Linked DNA regions of Styela clava. The protein of the gene in region 1 purifies or fractionates together with the protein of each later gene. This does not show direct contact. Links are inferred from orthologs where the notes say so. Each region holds a gene or a part of one and is shown in the gene's direction. Other genes may lie near its edges. The genes, in order: superoxide dismutase [Cu-Zn]-like; 10 kDa heat shock protein, mitochondrial-like.

Region 1 (8,848 bases):
AGTCAGCTTTCGCACCCAATCACGTTCGATGTTTTTCCTCATAGAGGTGCCGTACATGTCTCTCAGACCGTCATTTTCCAACAGTCGTTTTTTCGGATTCCTACATCTCGTACGGGCAATAAGACTGTTCTCCAACATAATGGAAATATCGCGACGCCACCGAAAGCCGACTTTATAATGCCCATCAACAATAGACGTTTTAGCTCTATTCACATTCGCAGCCACGCGATCTTCCACAGATTCGGCGCGCTTCGTGTTGTAGCTCATTACCATCGCTTCCGTACTCGAAAATTGCTTAACTTGGTCTTGCAAGATATTGTAATCATCGTGTAATAAATGACAATTAGCATGAATTAAATCGTCTCCACAAGCGCGTTTGTTTGCGCCTAGCAAAGTCCATCCGAGTGGTGTTCTTATTGCAATCGGTTCATCGTCTCCCCCTACACGTCCTTCAAGTTGAAAGTGGGCAAATGGAAGGTCCGCACCTATGAGCAACATAACTTTGTTTTCTCTAGTGTCAGGAAGTGATAATCCACGTAAATGATGGAAGGATTCAAAATCTTTATGACTTCTTTCAGGGTGGGGAATTCTGGTGCCGCATACGAAAACTGACTTTAGATGTAGTTCTTTGCCGTCGGGATTCAATTTGTCACGCACAAAAAGTTCGACCGCTTCCGAGTCATGCAAGGCCCCAGTTCCTCCGAGGGTGGTTAACATGAGCCTTTTACGACGTCCACGCAAATCCAACTTAGTTTTGAGTTTGGGATGGATGAGAGAGACCTGACTTGCCGAATCAAGCAAAGCAACTGTATATTCGGAGCGTCCATTAGCTCCTCTAACCAGAACAGGCAGCAACTGAAATTGAACTCTAGTTGTTACCGACACCGCATTGTTTATACCCTGTCGGTTTATTGGTCTTGTGACGCTTTCAAACATGCGAATTCCATGAATACATTTGTGATGTTTCCCATTGCATATACTACACTCGACATCACATCTACACATAAATGCACGATGGCCCGGTTCAAGACATTTAAAGCAAAGTCTGTAATCTACAACAAAGTTACGTTTTACATAATCGGTCGCACCGAAAAACGTCTCACAACTTCTCAAAGAATGGCGAGCATTGCAGAATTGACAACGTGATGCGTCACTATATGACGTATTATCGGATTCCAAGTTTGATAACGTTGAAAATGGAGTCGGAAATCGGCGACGAGCGCTTCTGGGCATCTCGTGGTCAGTTAAATCAGTTCTATTGATCACATTGCAAGTAACATCTGGAGAAAAAGGATTGGCGATTTCTTCAGTTCTTTCCCACAACCATTGCTCAAAGTCAATTAATGTCGGATTAGAGTTTTTGTGAATAAAACCTACAACAAATTTATTCCAACTCGAGTTCAGTTCTTAAGAAATCCTGCTTGAAACCCTCCTTACATTCTCGACGCTACTGATGTCAGCCAAATAACACATCTTTTTGAGATTCACCACGCAGTCACGCACGTCTGAGTGAAAATTTAGCAATCTATCGGCCGAAAGAGGCGACATACGTTTTCCATTTACAACTCGATCAAGCACCGCCCGTGCGATCAGTACCGGCTGTCCGTAGCGGCGTTTTAATTCCTTTAAAACCAGTATGTAATGACTACCGGCGGTACCTAATCCCTCAACACGACGCTTCGCCGAACCCGACAAATACGCGGACAATCTCACCATGCGTTGACCATCATCGTCTAACCGTGAATGAACATTTTCATAAAACAATTCAATGAAATTAGGCCAGTTTATAGCTCTCCCATCAAACGGACTTATTTGTACCGGCGGCAAATGATGCTCAGCCCACATTTTAGAATTTAAACTCAAAGATAAACACGTTTGCTCAGCTAGAGAAATGTTATCATTTACCGTTCTGGATCCTGCTTGATTTGGTTGGAGATTATCGATCCAGGAGTCTACCGATTGGTCTGGCAACGGCATTTGGTTTGCTGGTGAAGGATTTTGGTAATGTCTTGGAGTGTAAGAAATCGTATATTCACGACGTTTATCTGACGCGGTAAAAGTCTCTGGTTCGAAGCGGGCACTTTTTCTTTGAGTTGATTGTAACACGTCGTGTTCGTCAAAGTTATTGAACCTGTGGCTCATAAAGGGACTCTTTAAAAGAGTTGGTGTCTCTCGGCAATCGTCGGGTTCTCGTGCTCTAGATTCTCGAAGTTGGTCAGTCGCCGCCCCCATTTCACCACCGGACTGCTTGGCGCACGCTGGCTGGAGATTTATTGTATTATCGCTGTCCTCTTCCATTCTTTCACTTGAAATCTGAGAGTTCCCTTCGTCAGGAGCCACGCACGATCTTTCAGGTTCACGGTCGATGTAACTATCAATTTCATCGTTCATACCTTCAACTTCAGATATAACTTTCTGAACGCATTCTTCGAAAGCAGCTTTCGACTCTGCGTTGCGAATTTGAGGTAATGTGTTCGATATAATTTTATTATAGGCGGCCAGTTTAAAATGTAACTCTGTTTTTAGGCATGCCAGCTGCGATCTTCGAGCCTTCTCGTTTATCAAATTTCGACTTTTGGTCATGACTGATTCAAACTCAGTCTCTGTGTTGATACGCTTTTGTCTAAGCGTGGATAAGGATGACAAGCCCTCAAACGTTTCGTCAGCTGCAGAGTCGCCTTCTTCCGTAAATGTCGACGATGAAGCCACTGCTGCTCCAGATTCTTTAGTATTTGACTTCTTCAACAAATGCGTCATATTCAACTTTGTCAGATTTAGGCACACAGATGTTCCATGTCATACGCGTTTATTGTAAAACGGTTGACTGTAAATAAAATGAAATAATCAAAAAACAATCACAATATGAGGGCGGAAAGAAAATGCATAACCTAAAGTTAATAGAAAATAAACTTACATATGATAACGCTCCAAAGGCCTAAATCGACAAGAAACTGACAGGAAACGTGAACGATAACGTTATTGGCATAAAAATAGCAACTAAATTTAGAAAGCAGTTAATAAGAATGAAATATAAAATACATGAACAATTAAAACAATAAATGACGACGATGGTCATATGGGTCCCCGGTTACGATACCCTCACCACAGTTCTACCTAACGAGACCAAATGCCACCCACACGCTAAGTCAATAAAGCGGATAATGCGAAACCACACCACTAACATCATAACAAGATTAAACAAGAACGTCCTACGACGCGTAAAGTCGAGATGCAAGAGCCACGCGTGACACGTCGGATGCAGTAAAGCCCGCGAAACTCCGGTCAAAACAGAAAAGCAATCATCGATAAAAATTAGCCGGTCGGAACGCAAGGAAGAACAGCGTTCAAAATATTATCAACTGAAAAGAAACTTCTATCGCCGACAACCACGACGTGGGTTAGCAGGTTCGAATGTCGTGGGGGATGATGTGCGAGAGGATTGATGGATTCTTCTCCACCGTAGGGTGGTTCACGTCACCGCTGCTCGGTTACGGCTTTCTCCATTATCAGGTCTATGCATCTAAAACAAATAACTGACTGCTGGGCTTACTAATATCATAATCCAGAATTTGGCATTTGACTCCCAACTATAATCAGCTTGGCGAAATCTTTTTTTCTTCTTGTCTTCATATTGAATACTGTTCACTCTTGTTTACAAATCTGTACTCTGGGAATTTTATTAAATGGTGTGGCAAACAATTCTTATTGGACACATAGTGGGCATAACGATCGTTTCAATATTATGTTGTTGTTGTTCTTGTTCTTTGACACGTTTTGAAAAAATCGTTTTTCTTATTGTTCACTGGACCAATTGTTTTGAAATTTCCAGTGAATAAAGATTAGATTTTTTGCTAGAGGGCTATTTATTTTCTGCTATGACGTCACAAAATTATTTGGTGCTACGTGTTCATACATTTGAGCATAGCTCTCTTGTTTCTAATTGGAATTCTTATTTTTATTCTAATTTTTTTCACTTATTTATTTATTTTATACTATAAAATTTATCTAGATCTCTTTTTTCTAACTTTAATATAGCCCCGTGGTTGTGTGTGTTAGTGAATTGATTCAATAATTTTAGGAGAGTGAACAGGTACCAATTCTTTTCGGCAAAACCTTCCATCTTATATTCTGTTCGTTTTGAACCTTATCCAAGGTTTTGTTTGCTCTCCTGATTTCATATTCAGTTTTTATTTATTTGTTTTTCTCAATTATTTATTCGCCCTTTATGCTTTATGGAGCCGAAGTATACTTACCGTAATCTCCCGTTTCATTTTGTGTGTATTAAGGAGTTTCCAAAATAAACTATCTATCTATATACCAGGAATGGACTTGTACCGGTAACCGGACGAGGGCCTTGGCCGCCGTCCTATTGGTTGCCCTATCCCTTGGAATTAATATGCAAATCCTATCACCATAACGCGCAGTTTGATTGGTTGTTGGGTGGGTGTTGTTCCGAAAATTACCAAAGTTCAAATTGTTGGTTACCGGGTTTGCTGTTTCAGCAGTTGCAGCTTTGCAGTTGGGTTAGGGTAGTTACGGTATAAATTTACGTACCGGTACCGGTACGTTACCAAAGCAGTGCAGTTTGCAACAAGATTCATACTACATATACACACGGTATATTTCTGTACCGGTATCCGTTGAAGACAATGACCAAAGTGAAAGCTATTTGTAAGCTCGATGGCGACAAAGGAGTAAAAGGAGACATTTTGCTGGAGTTGCAAGGTGATGGTACTTGCAAAATTACCGGCATAGTGGAAGGATTAAAGGCAGGAAAACATGGATTCCATGTTCATGAATTTGGGGACTTCTCACAAGGATGCATGAGCACTGGTGGCCATTTTAATCCAAATTTAAGAGAACATGCTGGTCCTGCAGAAGTGGATCGTCATGTTGGAGATTTGGGCAATATCATAGCGGAAGAAAATGGACAAGCTGTAGTAGATATTACTGATAGTCAAGTCACCTTGTGTGGTGCGAACTCCGTTATTGGAAGGGCAATTGTAGTTCATGCAGATGAAGATGACTTGGGTCGGGGAAAATTCGATGATAGCAAAACTACAGGCCATGCTGGGGCAAGACTAGCTTGTGGTGTGATTGGGATTACAAAATAGATTTAAATATAATTCCAGGGGGTTTGATTATATTTCTGTATTTCTTCAGTCACATCCTCTATTGTATTTAAGCCGACATCAAAATTAACAGATTGCATTTTGGAAACTGGATTAAAATGTAATAAAACTGTAAAATGAACATATTTTATAGAAATCAAATATAACCTGATGTTATGATGATTAAATGTCTGAAAAATTTCATAATTTAGTTCATATTAATTAGCAAATTATTGCGTTAATAAGGAAAAGTTTCTCTACTACAATGTTATATTTTGGTGAATATAATTTAGCATCATGATTTAGTACCATTGAATGTGTAAAGTTGTTTTCGTCATTAATTTTGCAATCCCTTGAATAATCTCACTGTTTAGTGAATTTGTTCCCTTTTTACTCTTTTGTGTCGATAAATTGAAATTTAATAAACACTGTAATGATTTGATGTATTTTTTTCAAATTTTTGAAGATATCACCTCATCTGTTTGCAAACTTCCATGGAGCTGGATGATTATGGGATCATCTTGAAATCTCTACTGTCATATATGATAATATACACTGTATCAGATCACAAGTTATGAAATCATTTTCTGATATAATATTCATCCATTTTTATTTGTCGCCTATATTTCTTAACATCGTTGAATTTTGGGCTTTGTCCCGTAAGCATTGTACACTATTTATTTCATCCTTTGATATGTGTTATTTGATTCATCTTCAAATCCTGCACATTATTCATTCCGTTTTGGTTTTTTACATTAATAGTATTTTGTATTATTGCTATTTTGTCATGTTTTTTTCTATAAATCATGATAGAAAATACCTATTGTGAATATAAACAATTGAGACCTGCATTTTTCTAGAGAGTGCCAACTACATCTGTCCATGTCCATATAGTTAAATTTAAAACGAATATCCTTAATGGACTCGATAAATAACGAAAACACGATATATATACATATGACGTTTTTCTTTGTAAAGTGTGACTTAAATTATGATTTCTCTACAATGATACATGCGAAGGACAATGAAAAAATAGTGAATTCTAATATTCATATTTATATCTGGGTGATCTTCCCGATAGTTGTGGAATCCCCTCTGTATAACATAGTAGTTATTAGTCTACCGGTACACCAGTATTTTTTTTTATATGAAGGTTCTATATTTGTTATTTTGTAAGTTTTTTCATTGTGAATGGTAGAGTTCATATGTGTCTATTGCTTTTTTATCGCAGAATAAATATCTATTCAAACAAAAATAATGGCTTCTCCCAAAACAGCCGTTTGCATTCTGGAAGGAAGTACTGAAGGTGTCAAAGGCATCATCAATTTTAAAGATATGGGTGATGGTACATGCTCCATCAAAGGTGAAATTACAGGACTGAAAACTGGCCAGCATGGGTTTCATGTTCATCAATATGGAGATTACACTAATGGTTGCACCAGTACAGGTAAAATTTATTCACTTTTGAAGTATGTTTCGACGAACTGCTGTTGTCCAGAGAGTGGAATTTCTCTAGGGAATCAACATTTTGAAATTTGCATTTGGCCATAAAGAAATAGCTGATAGTTTTCCATACTTCTTTCTTTTTTGTCAAAATAAAGAGTAACCCCCAAAAACACAGAACCCATATATTTCTTCAAATTACTTCTGTGATAATAAGAGTAAAATTTGGTCTTGTTTGGGTTTGAAATTCTGTTTGTGTATAATTGATGAAATCTAAGATGTTTTGCACGAAAGTTATGTTCTCTCAGGGATATGAAGAGAAAGTAATTACAAAGTTTATGGGTTCTGTTTTTTGAGGTGAACCATTATTAGGGGAGAATTGGAATTGGAATTTTAGCATCTCAAACATTCTTCGCCATTCAGAATATAAATTTCGAGCTATGGCAAACTTTATTGAATTCTGCATCGGATTTTCTGCAAACTAAGCTGTACTATTTAATTGCTAAAACAGTGTACCATAATTAATATGTTAATCTTCAAAAATTTATTATTCTTGAGTGAATTTCTGCTTTGTCCATTCAGGAGGTCATTTCAATCCGTATAATAAGGAGCACGGTGGTCCTGATGACACAGAGCGTCATGTTGGAGATCTCGGCAATATAATGGTTGATGAAAGTGGGAAAGCCACAATCGATATTACTGATAAGCAAGTTAAACTGGATGGTGAATTTTCTGTTGTTGGCAGGGCAATAGTTGTTCATGCGGATGTAGATGATCTGGGCCGTGGTGGTTTTCCTGATAGCAAAACAACGGGTCATGCAGGAGGACGACTGGCTTGTGGTGTAATTGGACTTTCTCCAGCCAAATGACTAATGAGTAAATCGTCATTATGAGCAGTGGTGTCTTGGAATATGTAATCATGTTTTATTGTCTGTCTGTTTATTTGGTTTATTGTTTCCAAAAGTCCAGACTTTTTGTCTAATTTCGTCCTGATAATGAATGCAACAATTTTTATTTTTGCGTAAGTTGGGATATTGTTTTCTGTTGTGGAACATAAAAGTGAAAACTCGAAAGTAATTGATAATAATGTTTATTATATTTGGTTTATTATTTTTAGGTTTTCAATCTTGTTGGTACAGTTGTGCTTGAAGTTAAAAACATGAAGATCAATGTTTTTTAGTGGTTTTTATGTTTTGATCTGTATTCCTTAGAAATTATTCTTGCGAGTATTGCCCAATTAAATCAACAAATTGAGACAAAATCATTATTAACAACCTATATGTTGTATTACATAAATTTTCATGACATTTTTTTAAATTTTTTCTTCATCCAAAACATGTTCCAGAAACCTTGTTTACTGCTCCAATAAACAATTTTGTTCCTGAAGTTTTCTCATGAATGGCCAATACGTGTTCTCTCTACAATCATTGTTTTGTTTGTACTTTTTTTGTGATATAGATCAACCAATAATGATTTTGTGTTTTATTGTTTTTTCGTAACTGAAAATAAGTTTTGAAATAATGCAAACTTAGTTCAAGTCTATGTAAAGTTCTTTTCAGCAATATTACAACATTTCATTCGTGTATATTTGTGGATTTCAGATTATTAGATTAAATTATCTAGGTTCTTAGAACGGCATTGGAAATTTTTTTCATCGCTTATCATTGAGATGTCGAACGAACTACGTTTTGATGGGAAAGTTGTGATTGTAACGGGTGCTGGTGGAGGTAAATTTAGGCATATATTACAATTTTAATGTAAAGTTAATCTATTTAAGCCATTCAAAATCTGAATTAAATTTTAGAATAAAAAATAGATAAAACCATTCACAACATTTCTCAATCCTCCGATCTTTCAATACCAGATACACTTCAATACAGTTTATGAAATAAAGCTATAAAAATATCACTTGTATGTTAAAATTACTGCAACTAGAAATTGATTTACAAATTCCATGTCATATAGCATCCTTAGTTCAAATGTGTTCTTTTTTCCTATTATTATTTTTGTTTTATTATTTATAATTGTATCAGGAACTCTTTAATAACATATCTATTTATTTCAGGCCTTGGAAGAGCATATGCGCTAGCTTTTGCCTCTCGGGGTGCCTCTGTAGTCGGTAAGTGACACCGAAATTCATTTTACAATAGGAAATTTTGTTCTCTATCACTTCTGTTCGACATTTGTTTAGAATTGCCCTAAAAAAATTTTTGGCTTTCAGTGCAGTAACTGAACAGATTATTATATTTACGGTATGTATGTCACTAGAAGCACATGTGCAACCACCAGATAGT
Region 2 (7,258 bases), on another chromosome or scaffold:
CATGTATTTTCATTTTTGATCCTGGAATTTGTTTATATTTAGTCTGATGTATTGTATATATGTATTTGTATTATATATTTGTTTGTGAATAGTCTATCTTAAATTTTTACGATACCACTATGTCCATTCTGGATGAAATTGAAGCCGTGAAGTCTATTTATTGTCAGCAAGGAGAGTTTGAAGCTAATGATCTGGAAAGCTCTTTATCTAAATCGTTTAAACTCAATTTGACACACGCGGAGGAGAATTGTCAACAACTCAGAATTACTTTTTATATATCTCACAAATATCCAGAAGTTGTGCCACATGTGACAATTGATTCACCAATGCTGACAAGAGAATCTTCCTCTGGACTGAACAGCGAGATGTCCAAGTTTGCGACAGAGAATAATCTTTTGAACAGTCAAATGTTATTAGACCTTATATTGTGGATTAAAGATAACGTGGCAAAATTTGCTTCTGGTGTAAATTCGAATAGACTTCAGGGTTGCGGAGATGAAGGAAGTCTTGCTAAGAATAAAACGAAGGAAATTTGTGTGATACAGCTTGATCATATGCGCTCAAAAAACAATTATCTAAAAACGTTACAAAAATGGGCAACTCGATTACAAGTCCAGGGTGTTGTTTTATTTTACAAGCATCTCATTTTTATAATCTTGTACGGTAACAAGAATGATATTAAAGAATATTTAAAAAAGATGCGAACTCAAAAAGTTGATATTGATTCAGCTGGTCATGCTTGTAAAGAACGGCTCATGACTATTTTATTAAGAGATTCTTATGAAGACGACCTTGTACCATTTGAGGGCTTCCATGTTCATGAACTGTCCGAAATAAACGAGGTGGAAAGCCTGTTTAGTGAAGGATTCACGTCCATGTTGTATGACATACTTAGACCATTGCTTACTCGTGCGTAAGAGTTCATTTAAATTCATTCATGGCTGTGAACAATAGAATGTGCTAATTGGTTGTAAAAATAAGGCCAAACACATGCTATGTTCACATTACACATTAAAATTTGTTGCTGTATTCTATTCTCGTCACATACTAGAAAACCACATTTTATCTGTTTTGAAAATCTTATGGGTATAATATCCAATATTAGTTTCACAATGTTCATACACTTGCTTTGGCTGTTTTTACTATATTTCTAAGGAACCCGTTTGGTATTTATTGTAAATGGTGGCTCGTCATTTTTTCATCTAAGGGATTGGCTTGTTTTAGCCTGCTACCGCATAGCTCTCTTATTATCTCCACTGAATTTGCCACTCACAGAATGTGTATTTTTACCACCACTGCACATTTGTTTGAAATTTTATATATACAACATGGTACATTATGGACACAAGAATTGTTTCTATCATACGAAATAAAGAGTATAATTAGATATTGATGACTCTTGATAGTTTTTGAACTCTGTTTAGCAGCAAGTCTCCTTTCTTTATTGTCTCCTGATATTGCCAGTTCTTGCTATCAGGTCTGTTGGTCTCAACGATCCCACCGACCTTATCAATTTTGCAATGCAGTCTCCCAACAGCTATGAATCTTGACAACTCCCTGTGTAAACGAGATGAGATTTTTTTTTTATTTGCAAGAATTAGGTTGATCGTATCAAGGTCACACTCACTCGGAAACAGAGGACGCCGATCTCTGAGCAAAGTATCAGAGGGCTCGTGAGACTATATAGATGTAGATATTCTTTTGGAAGGACAAGTGAATTGCGTGAATGGGAGTTAGCAGTTCAGATGCCGAATACAATTCATACTAAACTGATATACTCGATTGATAGTGATATTCATTTACTCATCAGGCAATGCAAATTGTCCACATTTCTGTTGCTCGTATTCGAATCAAAAGCAGAGTCCAAGACTCAATTCAGACAGACAAGGATTGAAAATTTTCAAGTACTTAAGCCCTTAGTTAGCGACATTCCAATTTCTAAATGGAAGATCAAGAAGAAATTTTTCTCGTATGCAAAGTAATAACAATATCCACATCTGGTAGCTTCCCATTGATGGTACAAAGTTCACCCCATAGCTAATATAATGATTCAGGTAAACATACCTATCAATGAATTCAACAGTAACTCCAAATGCTTCAGCCATATATTCTAATGTAAGACTACGATATGATTCAAGGAGTTGTGTATAAGCAAGTATTCTCATCTCACGAGTGTAGTATCTATAATGAGGATTCAGCAATCTATCTCTCTTCATTTCCACCTCAACTTGAGCTGTAATATTCAAAAATAAATAAATTTCACTTCTTTAATAAAAAGATAATATGAAATGAATTTAAGACATTTACATCCTTATTCCAAAATCACATCACACAGAGTATTATATTACCCAATGAAAAACAATTATTAAGAATTCAAATTTTCCACGTTCTAAGTCATACCTAGACGCTGGAAAAACTCTGCATAATGACAATCATACAATGAGAACAGGTAACTTCTGCATTCCTTATTGCTATGCAAAACTTCCAAGATTTCTGAACCTTTTACAACCTGAATTGATGTTTGAAAAGTTAGTTCAGTTATATGATTATAACCTGCAAAAATAGGGTAAACGATGGTTCAATTGCTAGTAATTACTCTTATCAACACTTGGCCCAATGTCCTAACTATAGGCTTGAATTGAGTTATCAATATATGTTGTTAATATGTACTGAAGTAAATTGTAGTTAAGTTTCGCATAATGATAAATCATCACTGAATTGTGTAGTAAAAAAATGTAGTAAAGTTGTGCATTAAATAGAACTCACTTTTTCTCTTAACTCGGTTCTATCAAGAGCAAGCATACTGATGTAAACAGCATATGTGACAAAGCATTTGTAATCCATAAGTTCATAGGATGTGAATGTTGATACAGTATCCAGAAACAAATTTGCTGATTTCTTGAAATCTCGAATCGCAATACAATACAAACCTTCATAAACTTTTAGTCTGTTTCGCCGATCCCAATCACCACCTTCCTCTATTAAACTGAAAAACAATAAAAGTTGGTATAGATCGTTAACAATCGTTATCACAAACACTTATCATAAACAGAAATAAATTGATGTATCGTGGTGTGAAAATGTTGACATCTGTACCCTGGTCACACTGTCTACCAATCCAGGATGTAAAAAATGAAGGCAGAATCGCTAGATACTTGCTACTTGTACATGGCTTTGTTTCGAGAGAAAATCCAAATTATATATCACCTAAGGACAAATAGTGCATGCCACAAAGGGCTTAATTCTAAACTAAAATGCACAACAAATATATTTCATACATTTTTGCCTTCTCTATGCTCTTGGTAATCAGATCATGATCCATAAAAAACAATCCCAGTCGAATTCTGTAGAAAATGATGTCAAGCTTGTGTCCAAGTGCAATGGTCTTATCATATGCTTTCTGGAAAACTTCGAGAGCGTCATCCTGAAAGTTATTTGAGGAAAGGCATAAATATATGTAATTAAGACTAATTTTTACGAGCATGTCTTTACTGTGCTATTACATATTGTTGAAAATCATGAAATTGTAGACTAATATTAGAACATTTAGAAGCTATATTGAATTGATGAACAGCTCATTTCTAAACCTTAATTGGAAGTGAGAGTCCTGACTTTGCATGTTTTTATTGACATTGGAGTCGCATTTTCAAACCCCCCGGAATCCGGAATCCAATTGAATATTTCAGAATCTGGATTGCAGATTTCAAACATATAATCAAAATGAATAAAGTTGACAAGGAAGGCTTGCATGTGACAAAGTTATTATAATCAAAATTTAAACTTTCTTCAACTCGGAATCGAGAGTCTGATTTGTTTTTCAATTGAGTCGGGCAAAAATGATCCCAAAATCCACAGCCCCAGTCGACTGTTATGAATAAACATTCTAGGGAATTGTTGTTACCTTGTTACCAATTTTGCACAAATATTCAGCCTTTGCAAGTAAAGCATCTCTGACTTCACTTTCATATTCCATTTCTTCAGTTTCTGTTATTTTATCTTCAAGTTTTTTTAATGTCTTCTCATTTGTATCCTTCAATTTCTTTAAAAGTGTATTGTTAATTTTCATTCCAAGTTCTTTGCAAACAATTTCATAATAGGGTGCCATCTCTGTAAAAAAGAAAACGTCTAAATTACACATCTTGTGGCATATTAATTTATTATCATTCAAGCATATTGATGATTATTGGTTGGTTGGAAAAGATGGGTCTGTATAAACTGTTATTTCAGAATAGGAGGTAATTCTACATTTAGGTTGGCACCATAGTAAACAAGAAGTTAAAGTCGGCCAACGTCAAGTTTGAAAAGAATGAATTTCGATTAAATAATGGTCATTGATACAATACAAACATTAATAATACAAACTTGTCACGACTCATGAACACATTGTTCATATATTATTCAATCAATCTTAAACTGTATAATCGTCATGTTTTCTCAAACTTAAAACAAATCTTAAATAAAATCATAAATGAGTTTTCATGAGTTTGAGAACAATAATACTGTAATAAAATGCAATAATATTCAGATAGAAACACCAATTCTTCTTAAAAACCAATTTGAGGAATTCATCCTAATTTTAGCAAAATAACTTCTAAAACTTGCCATTTGCTTCGATCGCTTCCATAAATTGTTTTTTAATTTTTGTTTGCTGGATTTCCTCATCGTCCGACGTTAATAAGAACTTCAACTGCGCGACTTCCAAGTCTGGAATCTTTTTCAGACCTTCTTCTTCTAAATTTTCAACCGGCATTATGTGATGTAAATGTATAAAATGCTGAAACTAAATAAAGACGGATTGAACTGAAACGCTACAGATAGATCAAATAAGACGAACACACACTAACTCAAGAAATGAGCTGATTCATATAATATGATTAAGCGATATTTTGATGGATTTATTACGTCATATGAATTAATGTTAATGTCTGTAACCACAATATTTTATTCAAGAAACACTTTTAAAATATTTTTATTCATTTATTTTAATATTTACATACATATTGAAACTTATTTTCCCAAAAGTATTCACTTCTCGTTGTAGTATGTTACTAGGTGTCACAATAAGTTGTTTATTTTTCATTTCAGAAACGCATGTTGCAACCCTGGTGAAAATCGAGCGTGGTTTTGCTTCGGGAAATTTCTTCGCCTCTTCTGTTGAGTTGTGTTTGACCTGCCGCATCGCGTTTAACGTTGAGGTGAGTTTTTTATGAGTGATTTTATTTTGAGCATAGCAGTACCGTTACTAAAACATACATCTGCAATTTTGCGTGGGACTTCTTGATCTAGCACTGCATCAGGGCTCTTACAGTCTTACCGTACGACCTCTGAATCTTCTAACTTAGTGCAATCACATCTCTATCATTTTATGAATTCAACCGGTGTTAAAACTAATGCACTATGCCAATTGGCCACAGAAAGAAATTTCCCTAGCCCAACTATCACTTGTTATGTCCGTATGTTTCATGGTAGGCTTTGTATTTGCCATAGTATTACTAATACTGTAAACAATTTTAGTTCTTTATTTTCACTATAATAGACTACTTATTTAAGTACACATTTTAAAATTACACAAAAGCGGGGTGCTACTTGTGCATAGTACTAGCTAGGATTCATTAAAGATTGAATAAATAAAGTATTTTTTGTACATAGCAAGAGGGGAATGAGGAGTTCCAAAAAAGCGAAGGGAGGAATTTGATGAAAAAAGACCAAGAAGTACGTGCTGAACACTTAGGATTCGGCACTCCTAATAAAATATGGTTTCACAGCACTTCTTATCTTATCGTTTATCTTTCAGAAAATCAAAAATGGCAGCAAAAGCTTTCAAGAAATTTCTGCCGCTATTTGACAGAGTGTTGGTTGAACGAAGTGCACCAGAGTTAACGACAAAAGGAGGAATTGTTCTCCCTGAAAAATCTGTTGGCAAAGTTTTACAAGCTAAAGTGGTTGCAAAAGGTCCAGGCACGAAAGACAAAGATGGCAAACTTATTCCAATGAGCGTTGACGTTGGTGATAGTGTTTTACTTCCAGAATATGGTGGCACAAAAGTCTTGCTTGATGACGATGAATACCATTTATTCCGTGATGGAGATATTCTAGGTAAATTTGAGAGTTGAAAACTGCTATTACCCATGCAAAAACTGAAATTTTCCAATCATGTCTGGAGCTACCATCGTTGCAAAAAAACTGGCAGAGCAGCAGTGTTTTTGAATAATTACCTATTGTAATATATTATCGTAATTCGCTGATACATTTGTGTGTATACTGCCGCTGTGGTCATTAAATCTTTCTACCAATTCTTGATGTTGCGGGGAACAGTTAACGATGCCGGTTGCAAATTTTGTATCATTTTAGAAATAAGTCTTCTATATGCACATATGACAGTCTAGAACAGGCGTGGGCCAGGGACCAAAAATTTTGCTCACTTAGACTGGCAAGCCATGTAAGGGTGATGTGAAAAGTTGAAGAATATTTACAGTGTTACAAAAGCAAATTAGGAAAACAATAAGCCTTTTGCGAAAACTAAACGTTCCTTGAGCTATTTTTCAGATAAAAGATCAAAATTTGGTTTTAGTTTCGTTGCGTAGCATCGGGCGGGCCGGATTTGGCCCATGTCAGGTCTAGACCTTTTTTCGTTATAATTGCGAGCCAATGGTGTGCAAGAATGCTCAAATGAACATCATTAGGACCAACTTAAGCATGAACCCACCCACGCATCCATTTTCACTAAATTATTTTCAAAATGCCCAGACACTTTTATTAAATGTGAGCCTCAAAACATCACTGCAACAAGATGACACTTAGAATTATTTGATACCACTGAAAATTCACAAGATAGATTTATTGAATGACAAGTTTCAAAGAAAAATATATTTCACCAGAGAAATCACTGATCAATTGCACTTGGAATATGGCATCAGGAAACAATTTAAACAGCTTATATTATTTTTTGATTTCTTTCTCGCGCAGCTGAACATCTTAAGCTTTTCGTCCCAATCGCTTCTTTGAGATAAGAACACACACCAATGTGCGGAATACAAGATGTAGCAAAAAAGACAAAGAATAAACTACTAAATTTTTACAAAGGAAAAAGATGAGAAAGTTTCAAATGTTAAATCAATAGTGTGCTACACATGTAGCTTCATCTAAGCTAATTGAAATAGGGGTAGCAATATCTGTAGTATTTTTTCATGCATATTTCATTTTAAACTTCTGAAAACTTCAATACTATATTCCCACTTAGCACAAATGCAATGTAATA

The links.
Region 2: the proteins of superoxide dismutase [Cu-Zn]-like (region 1) and 10 kDa heat shock protein, mitochondrial-like purify together in Homo sapiens (affinity purification with mass spectrometry; 3 studies listed by BioGRID, with this or other methods). This does not show direct contact. The link is inferred for Styela clava from reciprocal best matches to the Homo sapiens genes SOD1 and HSPE1.

What each region holds. Positions count from the first base shown.
Region 1 is NC_135250.1:19,865,165-19,874,012, reverse strand, and holds superoxide dismutase [Cu-Zn]-like, read left to right. Parts: upstream 1-5,196; 5' UTR 5,197-6,368; coding exon 6,369-6,558; intron 6,559-7,136; coding exon 7,137-7,423; 3' UTR 7,424-8,156; downstream 8,157-8,848. Other genes in the region: uncharacterized protein LOC120337233, read right to left, coding at 1-1,233; peroxisomal multifunctional enzyme type 2-like, read left to right, coding at 8,224-8,281, 8,620-8,673. UniProt on the Homo sapiens protein: Destroys radicals which are normally produced within the cells and which are toxic to biological systems.
Region 2 is NC_135258.1:11,549,393-11,556,650, reverse strand, and holds 10 kDa heat shock protein, mitochondrial-like, read left to right. Parts: upstream 1-5,045; 5' UTR 5,046-5,195; intron 5,196-5,794; 5' UTR 5,795-5,804; coding exon 5,805-6,113; 3' UTR 6,114-6,293; downstream 6,294-7,258. Other genes in the region: RWD domain-containing protein 3-like, read left to right, coding at 120-917; 26S proteasome non-ATPase regulatory subunit 6-like, read right to left, coding at 1,383-1,557, 2,065-2,233, 2,401-2,509, 2,767-2,986, 3,279-3,424, 3,902-4,107, 4,603-4,750. UniProt on the Homo sapiens protein: Co-chaperonin implicated in mitochondrial protein import and macromolecular assembly. Together with Hsp60, facilitates the correct folding of imported proteins.